Arabidopsis thaliana: one gene and its partner. The protein of the gene in region 2 interacts with the protein of the main gene of each other region in a pairwise test. Each region holds a gene or a part of one and is shown on either strand. Other genes may lie near its edges.

The links.
Region 1: the proteins of PP7 (region 2) and HSF1 interact in a two-hybrid assay, tested with the Arabidopsis thaliana proteins (one study listed by BioGRID).

Annotation. Positions count from the first base shown.
Region 1 is NC_003075.7:9,868,691-9,873,531, forward strand, and holds HSF1 (heat shock factor 1), read right to left. Parts: upstream 2,957-4,841; 5' UTR 2,914-2,956; coding exon 2,581-2,913; intron 2,434-2,580; coding exon 1,279-2,433; 3' UTR 1,128-1,278; downstream 1-1,127. Other genes in the region: AT4G17740 (Peptidase S41 family protein), read right to left, coding at 1-61, 149-231, 310-459, 556-847, 949-1,029; AT4G17760 (PCNA domain-containing protein), read left to right, coding at 3,130-3,246, 3,320-3,409, 3,496-3,650, 3,729-3,849, 3,936-4,055, 4,143-4,213, 4,339-4,567. UniProt on the Arabidopsis thaliana protein: Transcriptional activator that specifically binds DNA sequence 5'-AGAAnnTTCT-3' known as heat shock promoter elements (HSE).
Region 2 is NC_003076.8:25,559,316-25,564,828, forward strand, and holds PP7 (serine/threonine phosphatase 7), read right to left. Parts: upstream 4,002-5,513; 5' UTR 3,844-4,001; intron 3,610-3,843; exon of another isoform or gene 3,599-3,609; 5' UTR 3,594-3,598; coding exon 3,198-3,593; intron 3,120-3,197; coding exon 2,625-3,119; coding exon of another isoform or gene 2,610-2,624; exon of another isoform or gene 2,537-2,609; coding exon 2,390-2,536; intron 2,315-2,389; coding exon 2,207-2,314; intron 2,117-2,206; coding exon 2,021-2,116; 3' UTR 1,755-2,020; downstream 1-1,754. Other genes in the region: VPS20.1 (SNF7 family protein), read left to right, coding at 4,575-4,676, 4,910-5,062, 5,157-5,309, 5,444-5,513. UniProt on the Arabidopsis thaliana protein: Phosphatase active on para-nitrophenylphosphate (pNPP) and on various phosphoproteins such as myelin basic protein.

The DNA of each region.
Region 1 (4,841 bases), on a different chromosome or scaffold from region 2:
CTGATGCAGTGGGGTAACCTATCGACAGCCCAACACCCGTAACCGCCCCTTGAGTCCCCGACTGCCTTCAACCAAACCATTTAATTACTAGATCTTACATACAGTCTATTTGCTAAATTCAGAACTGTATATTTTCAGGAAATCTTACCCGCAAACTCTTGAACTTTCCGGGCTCCAAGAATCGAGTAAAAGGATCATCTAGTGTTGCCACCATTTTCTTGATAGCCATGTCTAAACACAAACCAACACCAAATTTAGAAGCAAGTTGTACTAATTTTGTAAAAGGTTAATAAAGCTATTCACACATACATGTCTCTTCTCGAGTGTTCATAGGCTCATTTCGTAAAGCAGTCTCTCTGTAACGAAACCAGCTTTGTCCATTAAAGGTTTTATCAATATAAGCACGATCAATTGTTCTCCAAGCCTCGAGGAAGAGAAGATTCTCTTCAGTAAGACCCCCTAAAGAGACAGAGAAAAAAAGCCACACAAATGAAATCAAATTGCATTCCCCGAAATTTATATGGTTTCTCAACATGTAAAAAAAACAGAACTTACATGATGGTGGTGAATCAGTGGTAACAACAGAAATGGAAGAGACAAGCAGAACAGAAACGATCCGAACTAATGCAACAGAGAGATTCTGTCTGAAATTAACAGAAGATTTCATCATAACCTTCCCAGATAATTTCCTCTGATCATTTCTTTCGATAACACACAGAAATCTATTACAGACGAACACGACTCCTGGGTTTGCTGCATTGCTCCTTGAAATGTTACTACGACTACGAGCATAACTAAATTTGCTAGCTTTTGAAATCTTTGGAGGTTGTTTTACCCACAATTTCACCTGCAAAGGTTGAAAATTCTATTACACAGCTAAACGGACACAAATTGGGGAATTGCAGGAGAGAAACTTAAAAAGGAGTCAACTATACGAAAGAAAAGTACCTGGATTGAGAAATTAGGGTTTATTTTGTTAGGCTTAGTAAAAGAAATTGGGGATAATGAAGAGCTCGCAAGGACCTCCATTGAAAAGAGCTTCCCCGGGAAAATTCCAACTCTGTTTTTCTTATCGAAAAAGGACTACAAATATGATTGGACAAAGTAGTCACTTTCTACAATAAATTAGAAAAAATGGCATTTTCTTTTTAATAATAAATACAACTCTTCTATTATCCAAGGAAAGATTTCTGCACAAAGTTGCAACCGTACTACTGAGTCCTAACGATAATGTTAGTAGAGAAAGACTTTACAATGGATACTAAACATAATCCTTTACTAGTGTTCTGTTTCTGATGTGAGAAGACCCAATTCTTCTATAAGCTTATCCATATGTCTACCATTTGTGTTGTTGTTGTTGTTGTTGTTGTTGTTGTTGTTGTTGTTGTTGTTGTTGTTGTTGTTGTTCTCTAGTGTAGTTGCATCTCCAAAAACTGGGCTTTCTGGCATATATTCTTCAAGGAATTCAAAGTTACTCATTAGTTCATCAATCTCGGGGTCTTCGGGTATTCCCTCAAGCTGAATCGGGACTGAACCACCATCAAGGAATGGGCTTGGAGAGATGAATGCCTCTGGAACATTCTTCTCTGTATCCATGAAGTTTTCTGTAGGGAAGTCGTTGATACTCTCTCGTGTCAATTGTGGTATCTGGGAAGTCTCTGGCATTATGGTATCCGGGAGAGAAGTTGAAGTAGAGGGTAAGTATGATAAAGGCTGTCCTGATGGTACAGATGCATATGCCTGTGACTGTCCTGAAGTTATGGGTAGTACCTCTTGAAGAGTGACTCCTGATACCTGGTTTGGAGATGAGAACCCGTCAAGAAACGGATACTTATCATCTGTTTTCATCATGTTCCACATCATTGAATCGTTTCTAAGTGGCTGATACTTAACTATCTGTCCATCTGATGCTTCCAAGCTATGGCTATGACTATTACTCTCAGTAGCAGCAGTACTATCCTCTCTGAGTCTCCGCTTCTTATTGGCCTCGGTTACATGCATATTACTATCAGTCTGCTTCTGTATAAACTGAGAGAGGAAAGTAGGATTCTGTACAGCTTTAGCAAGGAAAGACATAATCTGTTGTTGCCTCTGCTCCATAACCTGAAGATGTTTAACCAAAACCTGAAGTTTATTATCTGTTGTTTGTTGCTGCTGGCGTAACTTAACGAGTTCCTGCATCAACACGTTTTTGTCTCTTTTAAGCTGTTCAACTTCTTCCTCTAACCCAAATTTCCCAACCTCAACACATGAAGATAATGCAGCCATTGAACCTTGACCCTGAGATAATTGCTGAGATTGTGGATTACTACTACTACTACCATGTCCCTGAACAGATTTTCTCCGGCTTATCTTCTTCAATAGATGTTTTTGACCTCTTAAGAAACCTTCATTAGCAAATTCCCATCGATCTGGATCCACTTTCCTAAAACCCTGTTCATCAAAATTGGCACATGAATCATATAAATCTTATCAAACACATCAAGCACTAAGATTATTCAACGAAATCATAATCTATACACAGTACAATTAGAGAAATCAATGGTGGAGAAATTAGGGCGCGAGAGAATTTATACTTACATAGGTGTTTAACTGGCGAACAAAGCTGGAGAAATTGTTGTGTTTGAAGTATTTAGGTAGAAGATCACGAGAAAACTCCGGTGGATCCCAAACAATGAAGCTATTGTTCGTCGGACTCCATGAGACAATCGCGTCCGTCGCCGGATCTTCCACCATGTCATACGTCTTGCTAAGGAAAGGGGGCGGTAAAGAGTTCGCATTAAGTAAAGTCGCTGGATGCGGATTCCGCGGTGGTGGCGCCGTCACAGCCTCGCCGATATTCGTTCCTCCGCCGGTAACACCGTCCATTTTCGTACGGATAAAGAAAGAGAAGTATTTGAAATTTACAAACATACCCTTTTATTTCTCTGTGACTCAGATATAAACGCGATATCATAAAGATGGGCTTTTATTTTTCTTTTTAGTTTGTGTGTGGGCCAAAAAGATCAACTTTATTAATAACTGGGCCTGCTAAAACAAATATAATAATAATCAATTTAATTGCTATATTGTCGGCATACATTTTCTGGCGGGAAAGCAGAGGAAGGAGAGTGAGAGAGAGAGAGAGAAATGAGTTCGTCCTCGTCGCCGGCGATTGAACCAGACACACCGGACCTGATTTGCCAGCTCGATAATGTTCAAGGAATGGTCGATGCACTCACTTGCGTCCGATGGAAACGCCACCAGGTTTTTATCTCCATCCTCCCCAAATTCAATCTAGGGTTCTTCTTTGATTTTCTGAAAACTTCTCCGTTTCCAGGATGCTTTAGTAGAATTATCTGAACACGGAATAGTTTTGATTGTTGAAGAATCAGGTTGTCTTCAAGCCAAAGTTTATCTTCAACGCGAGGTATCGATTTCTGAGTTTATCTTAAATTTTCTAAACCCCTAAAATTCGATTGAATCCGAAATCTGTTTGATGTGTTATATGAGTAGCTATTCACGAAATACGAGTATGGAGCTCAAGGTAGGCCGAGATTCGGAATCAGCTTAGGGCTTCTTGTTGATTGCTTGAACACATTTTCATCACCTGGACATTCTAATACTATAGAAATCAAGTATCCAGGACCTGATATGGAGCTTCTTCTCAAGTATGTGTACTATGATCCTTTGCTTTGTGAATATACGGATTACGAGTAATTAGCTGATTGGTGTGAGTGTTTGATTAGATCTGTTGATACCTTAAACTCTTGCATCTACTCTGAGATAAGAACTAGAATTCCCGAAACTGTTACTTGGGACTACAACTTTGAGCAGGCGGGAATCGCGCCACTTACTTTTACAGTAAAGGTAGTAACATAGTTTAGTATCGTTTTTCGTTTAACATTGTTAGTCTGAGCTTTTTCTCAAATGGTAATTGATAATGTATCTATCAGTCAGCGGCGTTGAAGGAAGCAATAGATGATCTTGAATGGCCTGGTTCAAGTGTACAGATCAGTCTTCAAAAGGAACCCCCTTGTGTAATCTTTAGAGGAGAAGGACATGGAGACTTGCAGGTCTTGTTTCTCACTTGTTTCTTGGTGATGTATATTATCTTAATGTGAAAGAATCAAGGAACATATTTCGATCTATCCTCTTTGCAGATAGACTTCATGTATTATGCCAACACAGATCTTCTCCTTGCCTTTCATTGTGATACCGAAGTCTCTTACGGGTAACAATGAACTCAATTCTTTCTCTACCGTAGCTTTATGGTTAAAACACACGCTCCTACGCTTGATTTACCAATCAAGAATAGTAGCCAGATACATTTGCTAAACTTCTCATTGTTGATTGTAGGTACAAATACAAGTTTTTGAAAGCAACAACGGCAAACATACCGGGAAACGTAGTGAGAGAAAACAGGGGAAGCAAACTAACAATAGGAAGAGGAGGAATGTTGAAAGTTCAGCACTTGGTTTCAGTTTCTAAAGCTTTAGCTCCACAAGTGGAATCCGCAGGGTATCAGCCACCGAGTCGGATTGCTTATATAGAGTTCTTTGTGAAGCCTGAAGAGCCTGCTGATTAATAGATTTTCTCCTTCAGTTACTTTATCTTTGTAATTCTAGTTCTTCTTTTTAGTCAGTCTCTCAATACTATCAGTATCAGTATCAGAAAGAAAGAAAGAAAAAGTTTAAGGCTTGCAAAGAAAAACTGCGTGTGGTTTCACTAAATTAGCTCAGATGTCTCGTCGTTTAGTGTTATATCGCTGAACGACGTCGTGCAGTGGAGACATAGGTATGTCATACCGAAAAAAGAAACCGGGTGTATAGTTCGGGGGATTGAACCCGACGTGAATCGAA
Region 2 (5,513 bases):
ATCATATGAAGATACGTCTTGCTACATGTTATTTTATTCAATTATTCAAAATGCATGGTTCTACATATGGAAATATACAGATATACGGTCTACTTACAACTTGATTTTTTTTTTTTTTGTTAAATTACAACTTGAAGATTCTACTATCAACAAAACAAAAACAAAAAAAAATCTTCTATCGATCGAGCGAGATATTCAAATCAAAATACATGGTCAACAGGTCAACTATAGATTCAAAATATATGAATACCTAAATATTCAAATTAAGATATATCAATTCACGATCTAAAACATCCAAATATAGATTTTGCGAAAACGGCCAAAGAAATTATACATAACGGATAAAAATAAATAAAAAATTACATACGGATACTACTTAGTAGTACTTACTAGATTACCTAAAACCCATAATCTTACATATACATATGGATAAAGGTAACATCGATGAATTACTTGTTTCATCCGATCTGGAACGAATATATCACCTCGCTCGACCTAACATTTATGTGAAACTAAAAGGTTGTTTACATTGAGATAAAACCAACATTATATGCTTGTCAGTGAGGGAAGTTGTGACATCTATTATAGTAAGAAAATTAAATGAATGAAGATATTTTTGCATTGCCTGATACATGCATTATATGTATTGTCCAATTTTGGCATTAAAGTCAACGAGACAAAACTCTAGATCAAGATGGTCTCTAATGTTGACATTTGTTGCGACCTCTTTCAAATGGGTTCATCTCATCATTCATCACACAAATTTGTTGCATTATCTTTTATAATCTTGTTAAATAAACATCATTACGAACAATTTGTGGAAAAATGGAAATTATATGAAAGCCATTGGAAGTACTATATACAATTTAATGCACATGACTTCAACAGAAAATACTAGAGAGACAAGATAAGACACCTATAATAATTTAAGCTTGACATGAAGTGCTAAACAATTACTGTTTAGAGACATATATGCACATGAAACTAGGAAAGAAAAAACATTGCGGTGAGTACATGTCAATGATTGTCGATGAACAAATTACAAAACAGTAAAAATCAACACCCACCCACATGGGTTCCGGTATAAGGGTCAAGTTTGGCGATAACACAAATTTTAGGGTTTGCAAAAATGTTGTAACCATAATCGGTGATGAAATATGGAAGATCATGTGAATATTTAGATGATGAAACTATTTGGCTGAAAAGACAGTTAACTTTAAGCTTTATTACTTGAGATGCCCCGTGACAGACAACGAATGACCTTGGAGAGAATCACACAGATGATGCTAGAGGTAGCTTTAATGTGTTATATTTGCGAATGAAGATGCTTCACGCTCCTGTCGAATTCTTCTCTCTTTAGAGAAAGAACAGACCATTATTAGTTTAGCCCACTCAAGAGAAAAAACCGAAAACAATTGCAATAAATGCTTCAAAGTGCAATAAGGAACCATAAGATAGTTAGCATCAACCTCCACTTCATACTGTCTTTTACAAGAAGACATACATTCATCTGAACAAATTGCTACCAAATTCGGCATTTAATAAGCTGTCTCGTTACTTAGGATTTTCATAACCACACAATTTTTTGTTGGATAAGATTCTAGTAATGTGTCAATATTTCAAAGGAAAACTATAATGCCGACAGACACATAACTTGATCCACAAACTTCCATTGGACTAATCTACTACTCGATTTATCATTCAGTTAAAAGCAATTCTATACAATGAAAGTTACTGCAAGTTTGACCTCTCAAGATTTAGGCTAACCTGACAAAACAGAGCAAAATCTTACAAGATTTAGGTTTAAATAAGACGTGTAGGAACCAAGAAACTAAGAACTACATGAGATTTAAGATGGTTCTTATTTCTTCATCTTCCATACATAACTTAAATGTGAATTCTACAAATGATTTTCTTCATCTCTTTTCTTTACATTTGATTCCATTTTATGTTTGCAAATAATGAGCAATCACAACAACTGTAAAAAACATCAATTCAAGATACTCCTTTTCAGCTTCGGTCAGCTATTTGGTTGTTCGTTATTGGTGTCCATTGCTGACTTATCCATCTCATCATCAGAATCAATGACATTTTCAAAGTCATAATATGGATGCGCCTGCACATTTAAAAACCGATGTCGCTATGTATGTGTATCAAAGAAGTAAAACAACTCGTTGGTTCATTATCAGCATCGTAAGTTAGTTACCTTTGGTCGCGGTTTAACAGCTTCGAAACTATGAAATTGAGGATCCGAGAAATCAGGCGCCTGCAAAATAATATATGCTCCTTTGTTTTTGTACCTCTCTTCTGTTGCCTACACCACACACAAAAATGATTGTTAACGCATATCTTTAGAAAATGCAAATACCAAAGGCGTAAAAATACATACTTGGAATTGCGGATAGTCAGGTGCACTGAAAATAGTGATAAGCTTTCCGGATTCGACATTGTGGTCTATTGTATATCCATTGTCCATTCCACCAAGACCAGTTCTCTTCTCTCTAGCATCTGGACCTTCATGTGATCTGATGATCAACTGCACCAATAAGTGTAAAACATTTGATCCAATCATCCATATCAGTATTTGGGAAGCAAACAAGCATCAATATCTACTTTGGTGTCACCTTCAGTTCATATTTCTTCAAAAAATCCTCTGTACAATCGGGACCCCAAAGAAGACCAATGCCTCTCTGTTCATTTGGTGAAAGGCCCGGAGTCATTGAAGGATCAGACCATAAAACGTCTCCTGGTATCAAGTTTGAACCTTCCCAAGGAGGATCAAGAACTGATCTTCGAGCTTGCATCAACTCATCTAAGGTACCGAGTTTCATTGAGCTCGGCTCAGGTTCCAGAAGAACTACCCGACGGTTCTTTTTCCCCCTTGTTGTTCGCTTAGGCAAGACTGGGCTGCGGAAAAGCCCTCCATGTGCTGTATAAACACGTCCAGAAATTATGGAAGCCAAAGGAAGACCTTCAAAGCAACCCAAACATTTCCGGTACACATGTTTTCCCTTGTCTCCGTATTTTGTAAGCACTTCCTTCTCGAAACCATACATAGATGTACAATACTTTGACTCATGATTACCACGGAGTAGGTAGACTCTGTCCGGCATCAAAACCTAAACAACCAAAAAGATATGTGCTTTAAGAATACTAAGACTTGAGCCAATAGTAAAACAGCTTAGTAAAGAGTTTACCTTCCAGGACAAGAGAACAAGGAAGGTTTCAAGTCCCCAAGCACCGCGATCCACATAGTCTCCGTTGAAAACATAACACCGGTTTTGACAAGGAAAGCCAGTATCTTTCAATAGGAAAAGAAGGTCATGAAGCTGACCATGAATGTCACCAACCACAACAACGTTGGATACAGAGTCAAGATCATCGATATGAACGCAGTTACGTTCTTTGTGGAGGATTTTATGAGCGGTGAGGACGAGGGAATCAAAGACGTTGACAGGCAATAGTGAAGGTAACTGGGAAGGAGGTAGATTCCATGAAGACCATTCGAAACACGACATAAGCCCATGTACCCAGTCGTTAGTGAGAGCTCCCCCATCTGGCCATGTAATGGGAGATGGTGGAACAGTTTCCATTAAAACTGTAAAAACACTAATCTATAATCAATTCCAGAGTATGAACATGTGAAACAAGAGTATCAAGCAATCGAAACATAGACAAAGTTTTCAAATTTCAGCGATCAAAGCCACCAGAACATAAAATCGAATCTGTATATATTCATTCGTACATCTTTAAACTCAAGAGAAGAGCAAAAAGTACAAAATCGAATCATGGGAAATCGAAATCCATATCACAAAGAATAATTCGGAACAGAGTGAGACTCACCGGCTAAGAGTGGAGACAATTTACAAAATTCCAAAGCTTGGATCTTGGACCTAGCTAAGCTAGCTTACTTTGCTTTCTCTCTGCTTTCAGTCCCGACACCGTCGTCGACGAGATTTAGGATCTGTCTGGCTTTGGATCCATTTACTCAAACGACGTCGGTTAACCAGCTAAAAGGATTCAAATCAAATTCATGATTCCAAACCGGCCGGTTTAATAAACGAACAAACCTTTTTTGTCGTGACGCTGCAATAGCGTTTTGCAATCACGCGCTATCGAAAACGCGAGTTCGAGATTTTGTTAAAGGTGGCCAACCGGTTTGTTCTGGTTTTGATATAAACTTGAACAAAATTGGGAGACCGAATTATACATTGGTCTATTCGGTTACTTATCGATTTCAGCTTGATTTTGTTTACGGTACTATCCAAGGAATTTTTGTTTGGTTTCGATTTTTTTATTTTTCAGTGTGGATGAAATCAAACCGACTAAAATCGGTTCGATATCGATTTTTACATTTTTTCGGTCCGGTTCATGCTTTTCCTCTATTTTGAGATATTTGTACTGAAAAGCAGAAAGAGAGAAGAAACACAAAAATTGGACTTTGGTTTGAAATTGGCGACATTTTTGGGAAATCTAGAGACTAATAATCAATTTCGTCAAAAGATCAAATCTTGCTAAATTTTCTTCTGCTCGTTTGATTTTCCGAATCGTTGGTTTCGATAAGTGAAGAAAAGATGGGGAATTTGTTCGTGAAGAAACCACAGATCACGGAGGTTGATCGAGCGATTCTCTCTCTCAAAACCCAAAGACGCAAGCTTGGTCAATATCAGCAGAAGGTTTTTTATTCTCTCTTCTTATATCTTAATTTTCTTTTGTTACAATTTCTTTTGGAACCCAGATCATATAGTTTTGATTCATCCAAAATCCTAATTGGAGATTGGATTTGATTCGTTTCACAATATGTGTCTTATGATTGTTAGTAGTGTGATGGAAAAGAAAGACTCAAGCTTTTGAGTTCTTTGGCTCATCTCTTTGTTAACCGATCTTCTCATTTTTTTTGCTAATTTAGCTTGAGAAAGTAATTGAAGCGGAAAAGCAAGCTGCAAGAGACTTAATCCGTGAAAAGCGAAAGGACAGAGCTTTGTTAGCATTGAGGAAGAAACGAACTCAAGAAGAGTTATTGAAGCAAGTGGATCAATGGGTCATCAATGTTGAACAACAAGTAAATCCTTCTCCTTGTGTGTATGTTTTGTATCCGGCATCGTCTCTTTTGATGCATAATTATGGCTTTCTCAAACTTTCATGTGAACTCGCAGTTAACAGATATTGAACTTACGAGCAAACAAAAGGCAGTGTTTGAGAGCTTAAAGCAGGGTAATAGTGCTATTAAGGCCATTCAAAGCGAATTGGACCTTGATGATGTTCAAAAACTAATGGATGATACTGCTGATGCTAAAGCTTATCAAGATGTGAGTCAAAATACTTTCGGGTTTCGTATCATTTGTTTATGATTCATTATTACGTTATCCGCTTTGTCAGAATGTAAATATCTTCTTATTTGATCACTGCTTTGTGTGGCACAGTTTGTTCTGAGCTCGTCTAGTGTGAAAACCTCTATAATCTTTTTTGTCGAGCTTTTGTGTTTGATGACTCTATTTACATTTCCGAATGTC